Caenorhabditis elegans: one gene and its partners. The protein of the gene in region 2 purifies or fractionates together with the protein of the main gene of each other region. This does not show direct contact. Each region holds a gene or a part of one and is shown on either strand. Other genes may lie near its edges.

Region 1 (8,307 bases), on a different chromosome or scaffold from region 2:
TGAGAACGCGGTATGTGGAGCAATATATTTCTAAGATTCTTGAAAACCTATTTGAAGCGAATTACTTATTTAATCGTAAAATACCTCATTTTTTAAATATGAATTTGTGTTCCTTTCCTCATTTTCGGTTTAACTCTTCGTCTTCTGGTGTTATAATCTACATATTTCATCTTTTTAAATTCAAAAGTATGTCATTCTCATTGATTCGCCACTGTACGAGTGTGTGTGTGCACTTGGGTCAAGATGACACAGCAAACAATTCAGACTAGACAGGTTCAAGTATTTTCGCTAATTTCATAAATACAGAGGCATACTTTTTAAACATTTTTTTTTCTGAAAAAAAAAACATATTTTTTGTGATTCTACCTCGAAAGAATTAAAATTGCGAATCCATGTGCTTTTTTTTGAATATTTTTCTTCGAATTTCGGGCATATACTAGTTTCTTCTGTGGATAAAAAAATTTTAAGGGGTTCACTGTGGTTTTCTCGTTCAAAAAATCGCCATTGCAGCTGCAAAACTCGAATCTCCGGCCTTGAACAGCAAAATTGAACCCTGCTCCCTCTTTTGATGAATCATTGAGCAATCAGAAGCCGTGTTGAATTAGAGATTCTAGCTTTTGCGTGGTCGTTTCCTCTCTCTCTTTCTCCCTCTGCTCAGATCTTAAATCAGCCCTCTTATGGCACAAGGAGCACATACATCATTCGCGGGCACCGGGCGCCAAAGTGACGCAGAGAAGCGAGAGATATGATGCCGCCCGTGAGAGAGAAGGGAGCAGGCGACGGAAAGTGCACACCGGGTGTAAATAGTGCAGATGACCTTCGTGCTAGGAGGATGGATTCAGTAGATGGAAGAAAGTTGGATGAGTATTTTTTGAGGGACTTTGAGAATTATTGATTTGAAAAATGATGATTTAGTTGGTGTCAAAAGTCAATTTTTAATATTAGGAGATGTTATTTTCTGGCCTCGGTTTTCGTAGATTTGACGAATCTGAAATGTTCCGAGTTTTACGAATATAACCCTTCAGTTTGCTGGAATTTCTGTCTCAAAATGCCCCCAAAGTATCAAATTTAAATGAATATTTGAGAAAAAAGGCTATGTGTAGTTGAAATTTTCAAAATTTATCAATTTGCCCGTGTCGGAGCGACTTAATTCGTATGTATTTTTTGAGATTTCTAGAACTTTTTGGATTTTTTCGATAGTTTTTTTGCTGATGTAGGTATATTTTCTGTTTATAAGCTCCAAGTTTCTACAGATTTTGCTGCTGAAATAGGACCAAAATTAAAAAGAACCGATATTCATAAACATTATGTTGGTGTTTTGACTCTAAATCGAGAAAAAAAACTATTTTACCTTTTTTTTCCCTCGAAATCCTGCAATTTCTGCGTATTTTCTCCAATTCTTCAATCATGTTCATTTGTTTTCCACTATTACTTTACAATCCTTCGCCTCTCTTATTATATCGCATCCACTACTTTAACCATACAACAACTAGTTTTACACACTCTTATTCATAATGTCCTCCATCATCGTTCTCACTGGCGGGTCCTACCACGAAAGTTTCACCACACAAAAGTCGATTCTAAAAGACTTGGTGAAATTTCGTGGTGGGACCCGCCGCGGCGTGCGTAAGGTCGTCGTTCCGTTGGCCATTAATATAGCAACTGTGAGCGATAAAAATCTAAAGTTTTATTTATTTTGCTAATTTGTCAAGATTAGAATCTTGAGCTAAGTGAATCAATTTTCTCGGCGAAGTCGATTTTTGAAAAATATATCCGAAAAGGTTCAAATTAAGCCTGAAAAAGTAGATTTTATTACGAGGCAGCTTGAAAATTTCTGAAAATATATATTAAGATCTGAAAAATCGCAAAATTTACGAAAAAAATTAGCAAAAAAATCATGAATTTTAACAAATCGTGAAAAACTTTAACAAAATCGATGAAAATTCCACAATCAACGAGAGTTTTAAATTACAGTACTCTTTAAATGCGCAATTTGTCGGATCCGGGCGCCGTATTTTTTGGCGCAAAATTTAACTTCTATGTAGTAATAAAATTAAAATAATTTTCCAATCGTAACAAGCTCAAGTTTAAGCTAAATTGAATCAATTTTTGAGATATTTTCTTACTATATGTCTCTCTTACCTCTAAATACTCTTTCCTTTTCACAATTTCTTTCAAAATTCCTCATTTAAATGTTTGCAGAGTATCATCTCTCCGACACTCACACACTCCATCTATTTGATTCGACAGCTTCTACGAAGATATCTTATCAATCAAAAGAGCTCTCGTGGATCATCAGAAACTTGCTCAAACGATGAGTGTAGTGTCGAATCATCACTCGAACGGAAACGGCAACTCAACAGTCTACGATACGAACGGAAACGATGAAATCAAAAAAGAGGTGAAAGATGAGCCAATGGCATCAGACAGTGAAGTTCCATTCGGTGAACTGATGAAAAGAGATAAAAAAGAAAAGAAACAAAAGAAGAGGAAAGCTGAAAGTGGATCAGATGAGGATGATTATAAGCCCGAGAAGAGAAAGTCTTCGGCGAAAAATGGGAAAAAGAAGGATGTTGGAAGTGATTCTGAGGATGATTATAAGCCTGAAAAGAAGAAAAGCAAGAAAAATAATAAGAAAAAAGCTCAGGAGAGTAGTGAGGATGATGATGAAGAATCAGAAGGAGATGTTAGTGAAGAGGATGTTAAGCCACAGGTTTGTAGCAATTAATAACATTTTTTCCTCCAAAATAACCTATTTGCACGGGTTTTTGGCGATGAAAATTCACTTTTTTTTTGCTAAATTTCATCCAAATTATGTTTTTCAACACAAAATTTGGTTTTAAAGTTGCTCCACGAAAAAAAATTAGCTAGTTCCCATTTTCTTTGTTGCAGAGAGAATTATTCGCTTTATAAGATTATGTGAACTCAAAACAGTTGAAAAATGCAAGAAATACGTAAAATTCTGCTATTTTTACATTAAAATTGCTGAAATTTAGGTATTTTCTCGCAATTTTGAATTGTTTGGATGTACATATTCCTTGTGAAACCGATGTGAGCAAGAACCAGCATTTCTACAAGATTTTCAATTAGATAGTAATAATATGTGTTAATAAGCATATTTTAGATGGAATTTAGCGAAAAATAACCCTTCTAACCCTACTTTTCTGCACGTCCTTAACATTTCCTTTGTTTCGTTAGTTTTTTTCTGCTTTTTTAGATCCATTCCGACGATGAACTAGAAGAAGAAGACGAAGCTCCGACGACAGATGATGAAGAGGAACAGAAGAGAAAGGAGAAAGAGCGTAGAAAAAAGGAAAAAAGGGAGAAAAAAGAGCGAAAAGAGAAGAAACGACTGGAGAAGGAGAATCGGAAGATTAAGGAAGAGGACGACGAGGATTCGGATGATGAAGATGATGAAAAGGCGAAGAAAAAGGTGTTGTTGATGTGGATTTTCCTGATTTTGCATGCTTTTTCCCGCTTTTTTTTGCACAAAAAACTAATTTGCAAGCTAAAAATGGTGTCGGTTTACGCAGAAATTGTGTACTACACGAGGAAAAGTGTGAATTTAAATTTATTTAGTTTTTTAGCTGAAGTTCTCGGATATTTAGACTTTATGCCAAATTCTTCTGAAAAATTGGGTGTTTAATCATTTTTAGGCTAAAAATCGGAAATTTTACGATTTTTTGCTCAAAAAATTGAACACGATGCCTGCGTAAATCGACATTACATGCTGCTCCGGAAATTTTAATGTAATCGAAAAAATTAAAAGTTAATCCAAAAAAAACCACTTCCGTCTAACCTGAATTACCCACCAGTAATATATTTTCTCAAAAAAAAAATCAAAAACTGTTTTCTAACCTTCTACGAGATACTTTAAATAATTAAATTTGCACGAATCATAATTTTATCATTTATTTTTGCAGAAACGAAAGTCAAAAGGAGCTGAAAAGAGCAAGCCAAGTACATCAAAGAAAGACGCCGGCGGCAAAAAAGAGCCACCAAAGAAGAAAGTGAAGAAAGAGGAGGATATAGAAGATATATGGGAATGGTGGAAAGAGGAAAAGAAGCCTGCAGGTGTTAAATGGAATTCCCTTCAACACTGTGGACCACTATTCGCTCCACCATACATTCCACTTCCATCTCATGTTCATTTCAAATATGGTGGAGAGAAGATGAAGCTGACTCTTGAAACGGAAGAAATTGCTCAATTTTATGCTGGTGTACTGGATCACGAGTATTCGACAAAAGAGGCTTTCAACAAGAATTTTATGAAAGATTGGAGAAAAGTGATGACTGTCGAGGAACGTGAACGTATACATGATCTGAAAAAGTGCGATTTTCGAGCTATCGATGCTTATCAAAAAGAGCAACGGGAAATTCGCAAAGCGATGACTAAAGAGGAAAAGTTGAAGATTAAAGAGGAGAAGGAAGCGGAAGTGAAGATTTATGGAATTGCAATAATTGATGGTCATCGGCAAAAGGTTGCAAATTTCCGAATTGAACCTCCAGGAGTGTTCCGTGGAAGAGGTGGACATCCGAAGATGGGTCTTATCAAGAAGCGTATCATGCCAGAGGATGTCATCATAAATTGCGGAAAAGACACTGAAATTCCAAAACCACCACCTGGGCACAAATGGAAAGAAGTGAGACATGACAATACTGTTACGTGGCTGTGCTCTTGGACTGAAAGTGTGCTCGGACAGAATAAGTACATTATGCTTAATCCATCTTCAAAGATTAAAGGAGAAAAGGACTTTGAAAAGTACGAAACAGCGCGGCGACTTAAAAAGAAGATTGGTGGAATTCGTGAGCGGTATACTGACGATTTTAAGTCGAAGGAGATGAGAGTTCGACAACGTGCTACGGCTTTGTATTTTATTGATAAGTTGGCTCTTCGTGCTGGAAATGAGAAGGATGTAGATGAAGCTGCTGATACTGTTGGTTGTTGCTCACTTCGTGTTGAGCACATTAAGCTCTTCGATTCGGCGAAACTGAATGAAGATGATAAGAAGGAAAAGGAGTTTGTTGTGGAATTCGATTTTCTTGGAAAGGATTCGATTCGTTATTTCAATCGAGTTTCTGTTGAGAAGCGAGTCTACAAGAATTTGAAGATATTCATGGAGGGAAAAGCTCCGAGTGATGATCTTTTCGATCGTCTCGACACTGCAACACTCAATGATCATTTGAGAAGTTTGATGGATGGTTTGACGGTAAAAGTGTTCCGTACCTATAATGCTTCGATCACACTTCAAGAGCAACTGATAAAGCTGACGAATCCCAAGGACAATGTGGCGGCAAAAATTCTGTCATACAATCGTGCTAATCGGCAGGTTGCGATCCTTTGTAACCATCAACGTGCCGTTTCGAAGGGATTCGATGAGTCGATGCAAAAGTTGGAGCAAAAGGTTGCGAAAAAAATATGAAATTTATTCACTAATCTCGTTTTTTTTCCAGATCAAGGACAAAAAGAAGGAGGTGAAGGAAGCCGAAGCCGCGCTGAAGTCTGCTCGCGGAGCAGAAAAGGAGAAGGCCCAGAAGAAGTACGACAGACTGAAGGAGCAGTTGAAAAAGTTGAAAATCTCAAGAACTGATAAGGATGAGAACAAACAGATCGCGTTGGGTACTTCGAAACTCAATTATATTGATCCTCGGATCACTGTCGCCTGGTGCAAGAAGTTTGAGGTTCCGTTGGAGAAGGTGAGAGATAGTTTCGGAGAAATGAATTCACGGGGGAAAATGGACAAACTGTGTCGATTTACGCAGCTCGTGTACTCCACGAGGAAGAGTGTGGCTACACAGTTTTTGTCGAAAATACTTCGTTTTGGAACATAAATTAGGCATTGAAAACTGCAAAATTTATCCAAAAACTGAATGCACACTCTCCTCGTAGAGTATATGACCTCCGTAAATCGACACAATGTCGTGTTTTTGAAGAGATGCGGTATTTTGTGATTTTTTCGTCAAAAATACTGTCCAAACAGTACCATTTGTCGATTTACGCTGCTCGTGTACTCCTCGAGGAAAACCAATGATTTTTGGTGGATCAACATTCAAATCATCAGTTTATCAATTTTTATGACGTTTCTCTGAGAAAATCAATCATAAAAACGCCAAATTCCACCTGAAATTGAATAAATTCGATAAAAATGGAGATTTGAATGTGGAATGCAGAAATAATTGGCGAAAATTGTCTAAAATGAAGCATTGTTTTCCTCTAGGAGTACACGAGATTAATGAGGAGAAGCGCTCCTTAAAATATGCACAATTCCCTGTAGTACACAGTACTAAAACACTTTTTTCCGAAATTTTTTATCAAAAAACAGAAAAATGTTAAATTTTTCGGGAAAAAAAACCCGAAAGATCATATAAATGAGGAAAAATAAGAAGACAAATGGTCAAAATTCAAATTTTATTTTTCGATAAATTCAGAAAAACCGACACTCTAGATCCCCATTAAAATCGATTTTATTTCCAGGTCTTCACCAAAACTCACCGTGAGAAATTCCGTTGGGCCATCGACATGACAAACTCGTCGGATGAGGAATACGTCTTCTAGAAGTCAATTTAGTCGTTTTTTTTCTTTTTTCTGCACTTTTTTCCTTAATTTCTGATCCATTTTCTCTTTCTTTTTTTGTTTTTTCTCGGACTCTCGACTGTGATTGTTACACACACCTTTGTTAATCATTTCGTTTATTTTTTTTTTTTCTTTTTTTTTCTGAAAAATCTTTAACCTTCACCAACAAACCCAACAAAAAAAATCAAATTTTCTATTCCAATTATTCATCACTAATAATTTATTATTCCTCTTATTTCTCCATTTCAATCAAATATCTCTAAATATCTTGAAATTTCCAAGTTTCTATAGTTATTTGCTCTTCATGTCTAACGTTTTCTTTCTCCCCACTCTTCTAGTACATGTAATCCATTCTATCATCTCAAAAAAAAAGAATCCTAAGATTTTTTTAGAATTACCTTCTTATTTTGCTCCAATTGCTCTAAAATATCGTGTGTAGCCTCCTTTTGGGTATGTTCAGACTGGAAATTAGCTATTTTCAGCCTTAAAATGCCCCAATTTCGTCTTTTTTTCTTCATTACCCACATGATTAGTCCCAAGAATTCTCGTCCCTCTTTCTCTCGCTTTCTTGTTTTTTTCTGTTTTATTTAAAAATCGCATACACATCGACTGATTCAAGAATTTAATTTTGATTTCATGAAAATTATGATAATAAACGTTGCATTTTCAGAAATTGTTTTTTTTTTGGTTGCAGTTTTTGATTTCATAAGTGTGAGAGGGCGAAATGCTGACTTAAAATGCTGACATGACATAAATAAAAAAGTCTGAAATAAAAAACAAAAACGTAAGCCCAATGCGGGGCTCGAACCCGCGACAACCAGATTAAGAGTCTGGTGCTCTACCGACTGAGCTAACCGGGCGCCAATCTCACCCGCTGCAAAGGTTGTATAGAAGCAGACGCACGCAGTGTCAGTTTTATAGTCCCGTACGCGCGCCCACATTTTGTCGGTACACGCGTTAAGTGGCCTTCTCGTCATTTTCTATCAAATTTGGTTTTAACCCAGTTACCAAGGTAATTCGGAGTTTCGATCTTTCGAAAGAGAGTGTCGATTGTGAACAATTTTTGGAATAGCTCTTCCGGGGAATCCGGTCGGGCAATATTTTAAAAGGATTATTATTGTGAAGGTGATTCCGATCAGGGCTGGGATTATTTAAAAAACGAACATGAAAGTTTTTTTTTAAAAGATGAAAAACGAAAAAGTTAGTTTTGCAAATTTACAACTGGAATTACGATTTTTTAGTTACATGTTTCTTCAAGGTTTCATTGTTCCGAAAATGATTCGCCCAACGCCAAATTCGGGTGCAATTAAAAGAAAAATACTTATCAATTTAATATTTATTTGGGATAAAGCACGCATTCATTACAGGATATAAGCAAAAGCAAGAGATATAAAAGAAAATGAATGTGAACTGATTTAGTTTTTCTCGTGATTTTTGGCAAGTTCATCGGAGCTTTGTGTTGGTTGTTGGTCTGAAAATAAATATCGATATTTGAAGCATTAATCTTAAAATTCTTAAAATGGGAATAACAGGAGTTGAGACATTTTTGTCAGTTTAGGCTAGCCTTCAATTATTTCAAATTTTTTTAAAATTATTAAAAGCAAATTATCATATTAAAAAATTAATAGCAACTTACGGTTATGTTCAGTGGCTCGTTGGTCTTTTTTTAAAGTTTTCTTGAGAATCTGGTCAACTGTTAATTGCATCAAACGATAGTATTCATCTCGGTCATT
Region 2 (7,009 bases):
GAAAAATCAAAATTATTTAAGATTTATTTAACGAGATCAATTAGGATTTTGGATATTTGTGGCCCTAAAGAGGGCCGTTGGGTTCGGTATTTGGTTTGTATGAAAACAGAAAAGATAATAATTATCCTCCGAATCCGTACAGAGTTCTTCCTTGGCGCTTCAGAGCGTAGACGACGTCCATGGCGGTGACGGTCTTTCTCTTGGCGTGCTCGCAGTAGGTGACAGCATCACGGATGACGTTCTCAAGGAACACCTTCAAGACTCCACGGGTTTCCTCGTAGATCAATCCGGAGATTCTCTTGACTCCTCCTCTTCTGGCGAGACGGCGAATGGCTGGCTTGGTGATACCTTGGATGTTATCACGGAGAACTTTGCGATGGCGCTTGGCACCACCTTTTCCAAGGCCTTTTCCTCCCTTTCCACGTCCGGACATTGTTGAATTCGTTGAAGACTCACAAGTGAGATGAAGAAATGACATCACAGTATTCCTTTTGTACACAGCTGTGGTGGCTAGGCGGAGTCACATTGCACCACTCTGCGAGGACACCTTTCCTTTGTCTGTAACACACCGAATGTTCTAATTGCCACAAGGACAGAAGTGCGCCCGCCCGCCCTCCCACCGCAGCTGCGTACAAAGTCAGTCGTTGGTTTCTCTTTTTTACAGTCCCCACGGATTATCAACCTAAACGCAATGGCTCGTACCAAGCAAACCGCCCGTAAATCGACCGGAGGAAAGGCTCCAAGAAAGCAATTGGCCACCAAAGCTGCCCGCAAATCGGCTCCAGCTTCCGGAGGAGTCAAGAAACCACATCGTTATCGCCCAGGAACCGTCGCTCTTCGTGAGATCAGACGTTACCAGAAATCAACCGAACTTCTAATCCGCAGAGCACCATTCCAGCGCCTTGTTCGTGAGATTGCTCAGGATTTCAAGACCGATCTTCGATTCCAATCTTCCGCTGTCATGGCTCTTCAGGAGGCTGCCGAGGCTTACCTTGTCGGACTCTTCGAGGACACCAACTTGTGTGCCATCCACGCTAAGCGAGTCACCATCATGCCAAAGGATATCCAATTGGCCAGACGCATCCGAGGAGAGCGCGCTTAAATACCTTTTTTGGTAGTTGAGCAAGCTTAATCTCAAAACTTAACCGAACCCAACGGCCCTCTTTAGGGCCACAAATGCATAAATCCAGTCCTTGTGTAAAATAAAATTGTTTTCTTTATTTGTTTTTTGTATCATTTTGAAGGCCCGGAGAACCGAACTACAAATTCGTCAGAAGTTCGCAGATTTATAAAAAAGGTTTCGGCCCAATACTTATTTGTTTTAATGCGCCTCTATACATTAGTATTATGAAATTAGTATTACATTAGTATTATGAATTTATTATTGAAATAGTATTATGAAATTTATGAAAGGCACATTCAGGATCCATAAACTGAGGTGTCGCTGCTTGAAAATCGTATCTGATGTACTGAAAGTTGCAGGATTCAGATACGAAACCTGTTCAATCACAATTTGGGAAATAACTCGAGCCCAAAGTATGAATTAAAATTGATGATCTGATAAAAACTTCCGTATTATTTTCATTCAGCGTAAAATTGCGATTTAATATTAATTATTTATTTATTTAATTTAAATTAAAAATAAAATGTTCCAGTGAAAAACATGTAGGAACATTATGCTATTGGAGTCGGAGGTCTCGCAACGATTACAGTACCACGTTTGTTATTCACGGCGCGCGCGCGCGAAAAAATTATTTGTCTCTCTCTCGTGCTCTTGCTTGAAACGCTCTTGTATTTTTCTATTTTCAAACAAATTCTTGATCAAAATTAGTTCAAACATGGTAAATTTGAATGTTTATTTTAATTATTAACGCATCTGCGATACCGTTTTCTGTTTTGAAACAAATATCTTCATTTTATGTGGCAGAAAATGTTAGTTTTCCTCGGCCATTTGTGTTCCAATTTCACCGCCATTTTCAAACGTTGAGTTCTGAGTACATATTCTTTTCAAAGTTGGACTAAATTCGTGACCGTTTGTTTCTTTACTAGATATATATTGTAAAAGTAATTTTAATTCTGATTTCTTTCAGGATGAGTTCGCCACGTCGAACAAGAATAATGTTTGATACATCTTCAGACGATTCTCAATCAGATGAGAAAGTGGGTTTTTATTTTTAAAACGTTAACTGAGGACTAATTTCAGATCGATGACTTCATCTGCCGATCCAGTCCTCAACGCCAGTCAAAAGAAAGTGACGACCAGGAAGATTCAGTTGTCGATGAGTCGATGAAATCTGTAAATTCGCCTATTGTCAATACACCATCTTCAACAGCATCGCATTGCACAAATAGCTTCGCCACTTCGACGCCAAAATCCAAATCGAATGCTTCAACGAGACTCGGTTCTTCATATGGAAGTTCCAGAAGCTCCTCGCAAAACCACGAGAGCCATGATCGCAGTCGGAGTTTTGTACAATATGACGAGAACAAGCCACTGACTCCAATCAGCAAAAAACTGGCGGAATCCACTGATCTGCGATCAAAAGCTCAGCTTCGTGAACGTCTCCTCCGCAAATCATTGAAGCAAAATGCCGAGGATAGTTCGCCAACGAGAGCTGCATCTGGAGGTGGATGGGGATCGTCTGCTGACGTCAAGAAATCACCAGAAGTTTCCACTGGACTTTTTGAAACAGCTCTTTCTCCTATTGCTAAAAGTGATCGCCGTTCATCAGAATATAACTCGAGCACATTTTTGGTAGTGTTTGAATTCAATTTCATATTGGCGATTAATATAATAAATTTCAGAATGTCCAGAAAGTAGCTACTTCCACGGCAATAAACGATATTGGCGGAAGAGAAGAAATAGTTGATGAATCATTTCCTGCACCTCGAACAACGGCTAAACAAGATGATAGTGACATTATCGAAGTGACTCCAGAGAAAGTTGTTTCGAATGAAAAACGGAAATCAGGGATTGCCATTAACTTGGATGATAGCGACATTATTGATGTAACACCAGTAAAAACAACTTCATCGAGACCACCAGAGCCACAACGTCCACGACTGCCAACTTCGCCAATTAACTCGGAGTACGCGAAGCTTTCCTACAAAGAGCTTTTGGCGAAAAAGAATAAAGTTATGGGATTAATTTCGTTATCATTAGATCTACCTGATGGTGGCAGACGGGTAATTAAACAATTTCAAGAGCTTGATGATGAAGTGGAGAGAAGAAAAGAAATGGGACTTGCTGAAGAGATCGTCGACGATGATGAGGATGATGAAATCTTCGTGATTGAAGATGATGAACCGAGTCATCGACAGGTGGCTCCAAAGTTCCCTTCCGGATCTGTCATGACTCAAAATGGTTTGTTGCCAAAAAGACATATCGTGGATCCTCTCAAAGCTCCTCAGCCAGACTTCAATGCCATGTTGGAGAAGGACAACAAGAAAATGATGTCTGGAAAGATGACCGATGAAAAATACAAACGCATACAACTCGTTTCTGATCGAGTAGTTCGACAACTTGCTGAGTAAGTCTTGTTTAACTTTTTCTCGAAGCTGTGTGAAAATGTGTATCCTCTTTCAGGGCCACTCACACAATCCCCGATGAAACTGAGCTCACGGACACTCCGAAAGGATTCAAACTTGAACTGATGCCACATCAAAAGGCAGGCCTAACCTGGATGCGTTGGAGAGAAACTCAACCACAGCCTGGTGGAATTCTTGCGGATGATATGGGTTTAGGAAAGACGCTTTCGATGATTTCTCTCATCGCCCATCAAAAAGCTGCTCGTAGAGCTCGCAGAGAAGATGGAAATGACGATAAAGACAAAGAAAAACGTAAAGTGGTAAAAGAGCAAGGACTAATTCCGTCGAATGGAACATTGATTGTTGCTCCTGCAAGTTTGATTCATCAATGGGATGCTGAAATCGATAGAAGACTAGATGACAGCGTTCTATCGACATACATGTTTCATGGCACAAAAAAGCAGAGGGACATCGATGCAAGACGTCTTGCTCGATACGATGTCGTCATCACCACGTTCAATCTTATCGCAAATGAATTAATCGAAAAAATAAGGACTAAATCAAAAGCAGATGATTCATCTGACGGTGAATCGGATTCAAATCATACTGGAATTCGTAGAGCAGTTGGAAAAGACGACTCCGTTCTTGCTCAGATCTGTTGGTCTCGAGTCATTCTTGACGAGGCGCATACCATCAAAAATCGGCAGTCTCTTGCTTCGAAAGCTGTCTGTCGTTTATCAGCATTCTCTCGATGGTGCCTTTCTGGAACTCCGATCCATAACAATCTCTGGGATCTTTACAGTCTCGTTCGATTCTTGCGTATTCGTCCATTCAGTGACGATAAATATTGGAAAGAATCGATCATGCCAATGAAACCAATAATGGCTGATCGCGTAAATTTGCTCACAAAGAACCTGCTTCTTCGTCGTACAAAGGATCAAACATGTGCTGTGACAAACCAGAAACTAGTTCAGTTACCACCGAAAAATGTAGAAGTCCACGAATTGGAGTTGGACGGAGATGAAGCACAGGCTTATGAGATTATGATGGAGGCTGCCAAGTGAGTGACTCACTTGTAACATTGGCGAAAATCATAAAACAAATTTTCAGAAAATTCGTCAAAAAACTTCTGCAAGATTCCAATGATATGAAAAATCATGGATTTATTCCTCGTCGCAATAGAAGAGCAGGAAAGGAAGGAGAAGTTCAGAATCCTTTCAATTGTAAGAATCTGTGATGTTTAAAAAATTAATATTGAATATTTTCAGTTGGTCCACGTGATTTGGCAGCCGGCTCGAACTTCGAAAAGATGTCATGTGTTTTGATGCTTCTTCTTCGTCTTCGACAAGCTTGTGTTCATTTCAATATCACAAAAACAGGAGTCGACATGGACGCTTTCAGCTTAATCGGTGGAGACAATGCGGAGGAAGCGAATGTGGACGATTTGAATGAGTTACTGGAGAAAACTATGAACATGACGTTGGGAAATGGTGACAATGAAGAAAGAGACAAACCGAGGGCTACAACACGAATTTTCGATCCGGACTACCTGAGCTGTAAAATTAAAAATACACTTGAAATTGTTGAGAACATTATGGAGAAGAAAGAGAAAGTGTATGTTTTCACCAAGTTGAAAATAAATTCAAATTTATGTTTTTCAGTGTCATTGTTTCTCAATGGACATCGGTTCTCAATTTGATCGAAATTCACATAAAATCAAGTGGTTTCAAATATACATCAATTACCGGACAAGTTCTGGTCAAGGATCGTCAAGAGAGAGTGGACAGCTTTAATCGGGAGAAAGGTGGTGCTCGAGTTATGCTTCTCTCTCTGGCCGCGGGAGGTGTTGGGCTCAATCTGACAGGTGGAAATCATTTAGTGATGGTGGATTTGCATTGGAATCCGGCTCTCGAACAGCAAGCTTTCGATAGAATTTATCGAATGGGGCAGAAGAAGGATGTTTTCATTCATAGGTTCGTTGATTGCGGCAAGAAAATTAAATTCATAATATGTGTGTTAATCTTGCAGATTGGTTACGAAAGGAACGATCGAACAACGAGTTGTAATGCTGCAAAAGGACAAAGTCGCGCTAGCTTCGTCTGTTCTCGACGGAAATGCTACTCGCAAGATGAACAAATTGACGACGGCAGATATCAAGATGCTGTTCGGATTGAATGAAAAATAATCTTCAAAACTATTATTCCAGCCTTTATGTACAATATTATCATTCCTCACCCGCACACATTTCATTTCTGTTGTAAATATTCATTCAGCTTATGGATTGCAAAATTTTATTTATTGCATAAGTATTACCCGTGATTATTTCTATAAAGCTTGCATGGATTTGAATTTTTTGTTGTTTTTTTATCAGTTTGATTCTGGCTAACTATATTTTAATACGGAGAGAAAATATTTTTTCTTCTAAAAAATCCGTTTCTTTCGCGCTCTATCGCACTTTTGCATTCGAAACGTTATTTCCGTGCTTTTTCTGCACTGTTTCTCTCTTATTTTAATATTTATTGTTTTTGTATCAGTTTCCATCAAAATTCTGCAAGATGTCCGATGTGGATATGGAATCCGGCTCGGATGATTCCGGAATGGAGGATCTGGATGAAGAAATTCAAAAAATCAAGCAAAAGGTATGAACTAATTATCGAATATACTTCATATACACAAAATACAATTTCAGATGATCGACGATAGTCAAAGTGTCGTTCTTGCAAACCAATTATTGATTTTATTGCGAAAAAATGGTGACTTCGACGAGCTTGATATCAAAAGGAGGCAATTTGTCGAATGGGCCCCACTTAATCCATTAAATTGGAAAAACTGGATTGAGTAAGTTAAAAAAAATAGGTTAATTATAATTTTTTAAAAACTGATTTCAGAGATTTTCAAAACAGAAAACCGGAGCCAAGTGTCGCAGAAGTCGAGGAAATGTTTGAAAAAGCTCTGTTTGATGAGAACGATGTCACTATTTGGGTCGAAAGAGCAATGTACGCATATAAGGTTGCGAACGACAAAAACAAAAAAGAGGATTTCAAGTTTTGCCGAGATGTAAGTTTTGATTGAAAAATGTAATTATTATAATTTTACAGGTTTGTAGCAAAGCTCTTGAAAACCTTGGAACTCGGTACGATTCTGGAGGGCACATTTGGCTGATTTTTCTGGAATATGAAATGAGCTACCTGAAAAGTGAGCTTACTACTGTACTTTCATCAACAATTTATAATTTTCAGATTCTATGAATGCTCCTGACTATCAACGACTCGCTGATCAAGTTTTCGCTCTGTTCGAGAGAGCCCTTCATTGCCCAACAGATCAGCTCGAAGATGTTTATGTTTTAGCTGAACAATTCTGCACAGAATTCAAACAACATCATAAACTCGAAGAACTGAAAAAGACATATAATTCAACAATGCGACAGAAGGAACAATTGTCAAAGTTCGAGGAGCTCATTCAACAGGAAGAAACCAAAAAG
Region 3 (4,506 bases), on a different chromosome or scaffold from region 2:
GATTGAAATACATTTGTGTAAAGTTGAGATGTTTCGATTTGAAAACTTGAGAAAAAAATCTGGTTTTGTTTACTAATTGCGGCTTTTACAGTTTACCATTTACTGCTGTATTGTCTCGTCATGCCACTTAGACACCCAATTTTCAATTGAAGTAGAAATTATATTTCCTTCTTTTTCCAAATCTCACTAAGATTATATCAACTACGAAATCGATACAAAATATCTACATACAAACTGTTTTTCTGGTGAATTCTACCTTACTCCACTCATCTTTCCAAATTTTCAGTGAATGTTATCATATTTCTAAAACTAGGTATGGGAAAACTGAAAATGTGCCCTGAAAAGCAGTGGTCCCCCAATATTTTTTTAAATTAATGTTGGTTTTCGCAACGTCATAGTTGTCAAATAAGTCGGTTTCAAAACTTGAACAAACATTTTCGATTGACTCACACATAAACGGACACAGTAAAGTCAGAGAAAAGTCACAATTTTGATTTTTTTTTGTTTTTTGTATAACAAATACTGTATAAACACTCAAATATTTAAAAGCTTCTTGCGAAAAATTCCCGCATTTATAGTAGATCAATCCGTTATGGTACATCTTGACATATAGTTCTGGAAAATATTTTTTTAATCGAAAACCTACATTGGCCATCGTTTAACCTTGTTGCCCGCCATCTCTTCCACGTTAAAAGTAGCGTTTTGGTGTTATGCTCAATTAAAAAAATGTCAAAAATTGTAAAAAAAAAAACGAGATCGCATTGTATCTACTTTTGAACGACACTATATGTCAAAAGTTTAAAAAGTACTATTAATCGTGATTCACCATGTACATACTACACTCCATCTTAGTGTATTCCATGTTATCAGTTCAAAACCGTCCAAAAATTGACCAACTTGTCCATCACCCAATACAACGTGGCAGCAGTTTCAGTACACTCCCCCTTGTGTCCTATTTACTATATATACGTTTTTCTGGTTTTCACTCATCTAAACCACTTTCTCCTGCTTTTTGTATTAATATTCCTTATTGCAATGCATTACATTTTTTATTTTTGTCATTAGAAACTATAAATTTAATAATACGAATCCAAAAGAATCATAGGCAATTTTCTAAAAGCAGAAATAAATCATCCAGAATTTCTTAATACTTATTCGTTTTTCATTTAATTCCCTTTATTATTATTCTGGTACTTCTTTATCAAAATTGTAAATTTCCAAATTTTCAGAATGTCTGCTGAACAATTTGTGGGTCGTTGGAAGCTTGTCGAATCCGAGAATTTCGAGGATTACCTGAAAGAAGTTGGGGTTGGTCTTCTTCTTCGTAAAGCCGCGTGTGCTGCAAAACCAACTTTAGAGATCAAAGTGAATGGAAACAAGTGGCATGTCAATCAACTTAGCACCTTCAAGAACACCACATTGGAGTTCACTCTGGGAGTGGTAAGTGAAATTTTGAAAAAAGGAAACGAGAATAGAACTCAACAACTATATGGCTTTTTCGTTAGTTATTTTCTTTCCCATTTAAAAACTTTCAAATGCCTTTCTCGAAACTCTAGCAAACACTGATAAGACTCAAACTAGTGGGTCAAAGTGCAGGAAGGTACACGTGGTTTTCAGTGTAAACAAAAAAATGAGAATAAAGAACAACTGAACTTTGTATCCATTTGAACACTACACACAACAAACGGGTGTTCTATTAACATAGATACACTTTGTGGCATGAAGAAATAATCTAATGTTTATGTCTTTCAGAATAGGTCTATGGAAAATTCAATTGCGAACTCTAAACGAACATTTGAAATCAAAAAAAGAATCATATTAAATCTAACAAAATATTTTTTTTTCGAATTAGTTACGATCTTTAAATGTGTCGGCTACATGAAAAACAACTCCCGGTTTTCATTCCATTAAAGTTCAGTTTTTAAATTGACTGTTATAATTTACCATTTAAAAAAATAGTGTTTTTTAGGAATTCGACGAGACAACACCAGACGGTCGTCAATTCAAGTCAACCATCACAATTGAAGATGGAAAAGTAGTTCATGTTCAAAAAAGGATTAAGGATTCAGATCATGATTCTGTAATCACTCGTTGGTTTGAAGGAGAAAAGCTCATCACAACTCTCCAATCTGGATCAGTTATCTCTCGTCGTGCCTATATTCGTGAATAGATTATTTTGAATATTGTTCTTGTTTTGTTCGGTCTTTGATGCAATAAATAGCGAAAAATAGTGTTTTTGTTTACGCAGAGTGACGTTTTAAAGGACCAGAAACCCTTTTCTTTTCTCTGTCTCTGTTAAAAAAGGCCTTGTTTATTTTCCGTAAAATTTTTCATTAGTTTCAACAATTTTTAAAGAAACACTTTTGTTTTAGATTTTTCTTTTTTTTTAAATTAATTTTATTCTTTATATTGATTAGACTTTCATGACCAAAATTTTGAGAAGAGTCTAGTGAGCTCCTTCCTACTCGCATTTGAAGAAAGTTTTATTATCAGCATTCAGGAAATATAATCTCTGAAAAAAAACATTCCAGAAGGACAAAATGACCACAAAGGAAGGATTTGATTATCGAAAGTTTCTTGTTGATCTCGCCTCCGGAGGCACTGCTGCAGCAATCTCAAAAACTGCCGTTGCTCCAATTGAACGTGTAAAGCTTCTACTTCAAGTCAGTGATGTCTCTGAAACAGTAACTGCCGATAAAAAATATAAAGGAATTATGGATGTTCTTGCTAGAGTGCCAAAAGAACAAGGATATGCAGCATTTTGGAGAGGAAACCTTGCAAATGTGCTTCGATATTTTCCAACGCAAGCGCTGAATTTTGCATTCAAAGACACTTATAAGAAGATGTTTCAAGAAGGAATTGACAAGAATAAAGAATTCTGGAAATTCTTTGCTGGAAATCTCGCTTCTGGTGGAGCAGCTGGTGCAACATCTCTATGCTTCGTGTACCCACTGGATTTTGTGCGTACTCGTCTTGGAGCCGATGTTGGAAAAGGAGTGGATAGAGAGTTTCAAGGTCTAACGGATTGTTTTGTGAAAATTGTGAAATCAGATGGACCAATTGGTCTTTATAGAGGATTTTTTGTTTCAGTACAAGGAATTATAATTTATCGTGCAGCATATTTCGGAATGTTTGATACTGCCAAAACATTGTACTCAACTGACGGGCAAAAACTCAATTTCTTTACGACATGGGCAATTGCTCAAGTTGGAACAGTTGGTTCTGGATATTTATCATATCCATGGGATACAGTACGTCGTCGAATGATGATGCAATCAGGGAGAAAGGATATTCTCTATAAAAACACTTTGGATTGTGTTAGAAAGATTGTGAAGAATGAAGGAATTACTGCATTATACAAAGGAGGTCTTTCAAATGTATTCCGAGCAACTGGAGGTGCTCTTGTGCTCACAATTTATGATGAGATTCAACATTTAATTTAATTACAGAATTAAAGTATGTATATGTTAATTTTGAAACAACATTGCCAATAAATTTTTTTGTTTAAAATGCATTTTTACTTTATTTTAAAAAAAAGAAGATTGTTTAAGTTTCACAATTTGAAAATGGGCTTCTATATATGTACAAGATACTAGTTTTTTACCTCAAAAAAAAATAAATTTAAAAAAAATTAAAACTTAGATATACTTTAATCAAAAACGATATTTTCCTCCTCAGAAATTTCAGAATTTTTTTGATAATATTTTTGTTTTTATTCGACTGAAAATTCCTCACTTTTCCTCTTTTCTATTTTTATTTTTCAAAAATGATGCAACGAATCAAAAAATGAATCATTCTTCAAAAAAAAACGAAACGAAAAATAGAGGAGACAGAAATAGAGAAAACGTTTTGAATCTCCGCCCACTCTTGCCCCCTATCATTCCATTTATCAGACCACCTAAATACGAATGATTTCCCAAGGCATTGCCATTCGTTTTCTTGTTGATTTGCAACTTTTCTTTTATTTCCATTTGCAAGTGATATGATAGTTCATCTTCTAAAATTAATTTTTAAAATAAGATTTTTTAACCATAATTTCAGACTAACGTTTTATTCAGACCTATTACATATCCGTTAATCTATTGAACTTTTTACCTGCTTTTCCAACTTCTTCTATTTACAGAACCATCACCATGTCTCAAGAATTCGTTGGACGCTGGAAGCTCATTCACTCAGAGAACTTCGAGGAGTACATGAAGGAGGTTGGAGTTGGATTGATCACTCGTAAGGCTGCTGCCAACTTGAAGCCAACTTTGGAAATCAAGGTCGAAGGAGATTTGTGGTATTCCAACCAATACTCCACATTCAAGAACACCACTCTTTCTTTCAAGTTGGGACAGGTAAGAAAGTGCAAAGTTTTTTACTTACAAAAGACAAAAATAATGTTATCAAAAAAAATGTGGGTTTTCTGATTCCAAATTTGCGACAAAAAAGTTACATAAAAATAAAGAAACGCACTACAAATTTATGAATAAAAATTGTTACTTCCATATTCACAGACAAAAA

The links. The genes of interacting proteins can lie anywhere in the genome.
Region 1: the proteins of F54E12.2 (region 2) and top-1 fractionate together in Caenorhabditis elegans (co-fractionation; one large-scale study listed by BioGRID). This does not show direct contact.
Region 3: the proteins of F54E12.2 (region 2) and ant-1.2 fractionate together in Caenorhabditis elegans (co-fractionation; one large-scale study listed by BioGRID). This does not show direct contact.

Annotation. Positions count from the first base shown.
Region 1 is NC_003279.8:13,290,312-13,298,618, forward strand, and holds top-1 (DNA topoisomerase 1), read left to right. Parts: upstream 1-2,200; 5' UTR 2,201-2,314; coding exon 2,315-2,713; intron 2,714-3,217; coding exon 3,218-3,433; intron 3,434-3,923; coding exon 3,924-5,405; intron 5,406-5,454; coding exon 5,455-5,697; intron 5,698-6,475; coding exon 6,476-6,556; 3' UTR 6,557-7,244; downstream 7,245-8,307. Other genes in the region: Protein sepa-1, read right to left, coding at 7,990-8,045, 8,211-8,307. UniProt on the Caenorhabditis elegans protein: Releases the supercoiling and torsional tension of DNA introduced during the DNA replication and transcription by transiently cleaving and rejoining one strand of the DNA duplex.
Region 2 is NC_003282.8:11,331,946-11,338,954, reverse strand, and holds F54E12.2 (Transcription termination factor 2), read left to right. Parts: upstream 1-2,090; 5' UTR 2,091-2,091; coding exon 2,092-2,160; intron 2,161-2,203; coding exon 2,204-2,755; intron 2,756-2,805; coding exon 2,806-3,530; intron 3,531-3,586; coding exon 3,587-4,588; intron 4,589-4,638; coding exon 4,639-4,751; intron 4,752-4,796; coding exon 4,797-5,142; intron 5,143-5,189; coding exon 5,190-5,501; intron 5,502-5,556; coding exon 5,557-5,713; 3' UTR 5,714-5,875; downstream 5,876-7,009. Other genes in the region: his-56 (Histone H4), read right to left, coding at 122-433; his-55 (Histone H3), read left to right, coding at 692-1,102; sart-3 (Spliceosome associated factor 3, U4/U6 recycling protein), read left to right, coding at 6,084-6,167, 6,218-6,366, 6,417-6,585, 6,627-6,723, 6,768-7,009.
Region 3 is NC_003279.8:6,728,994-6,733,499, reverse strand, and holds ant-1.2 (ADP/ATP translocase), read left to right. Parts: upstream 1-2,540; coding exon 2,541-3,443; downstream 3,444-4,506. Other genes in the region: lbp-5 (Fatty acid-binding protein homolog 5), read left to right, coding at 1,231-1,440, 1,970-2,170; lbp-6 (Fatty acid-binding protein homolog 6), read left to right, coding at 4,134-4,340.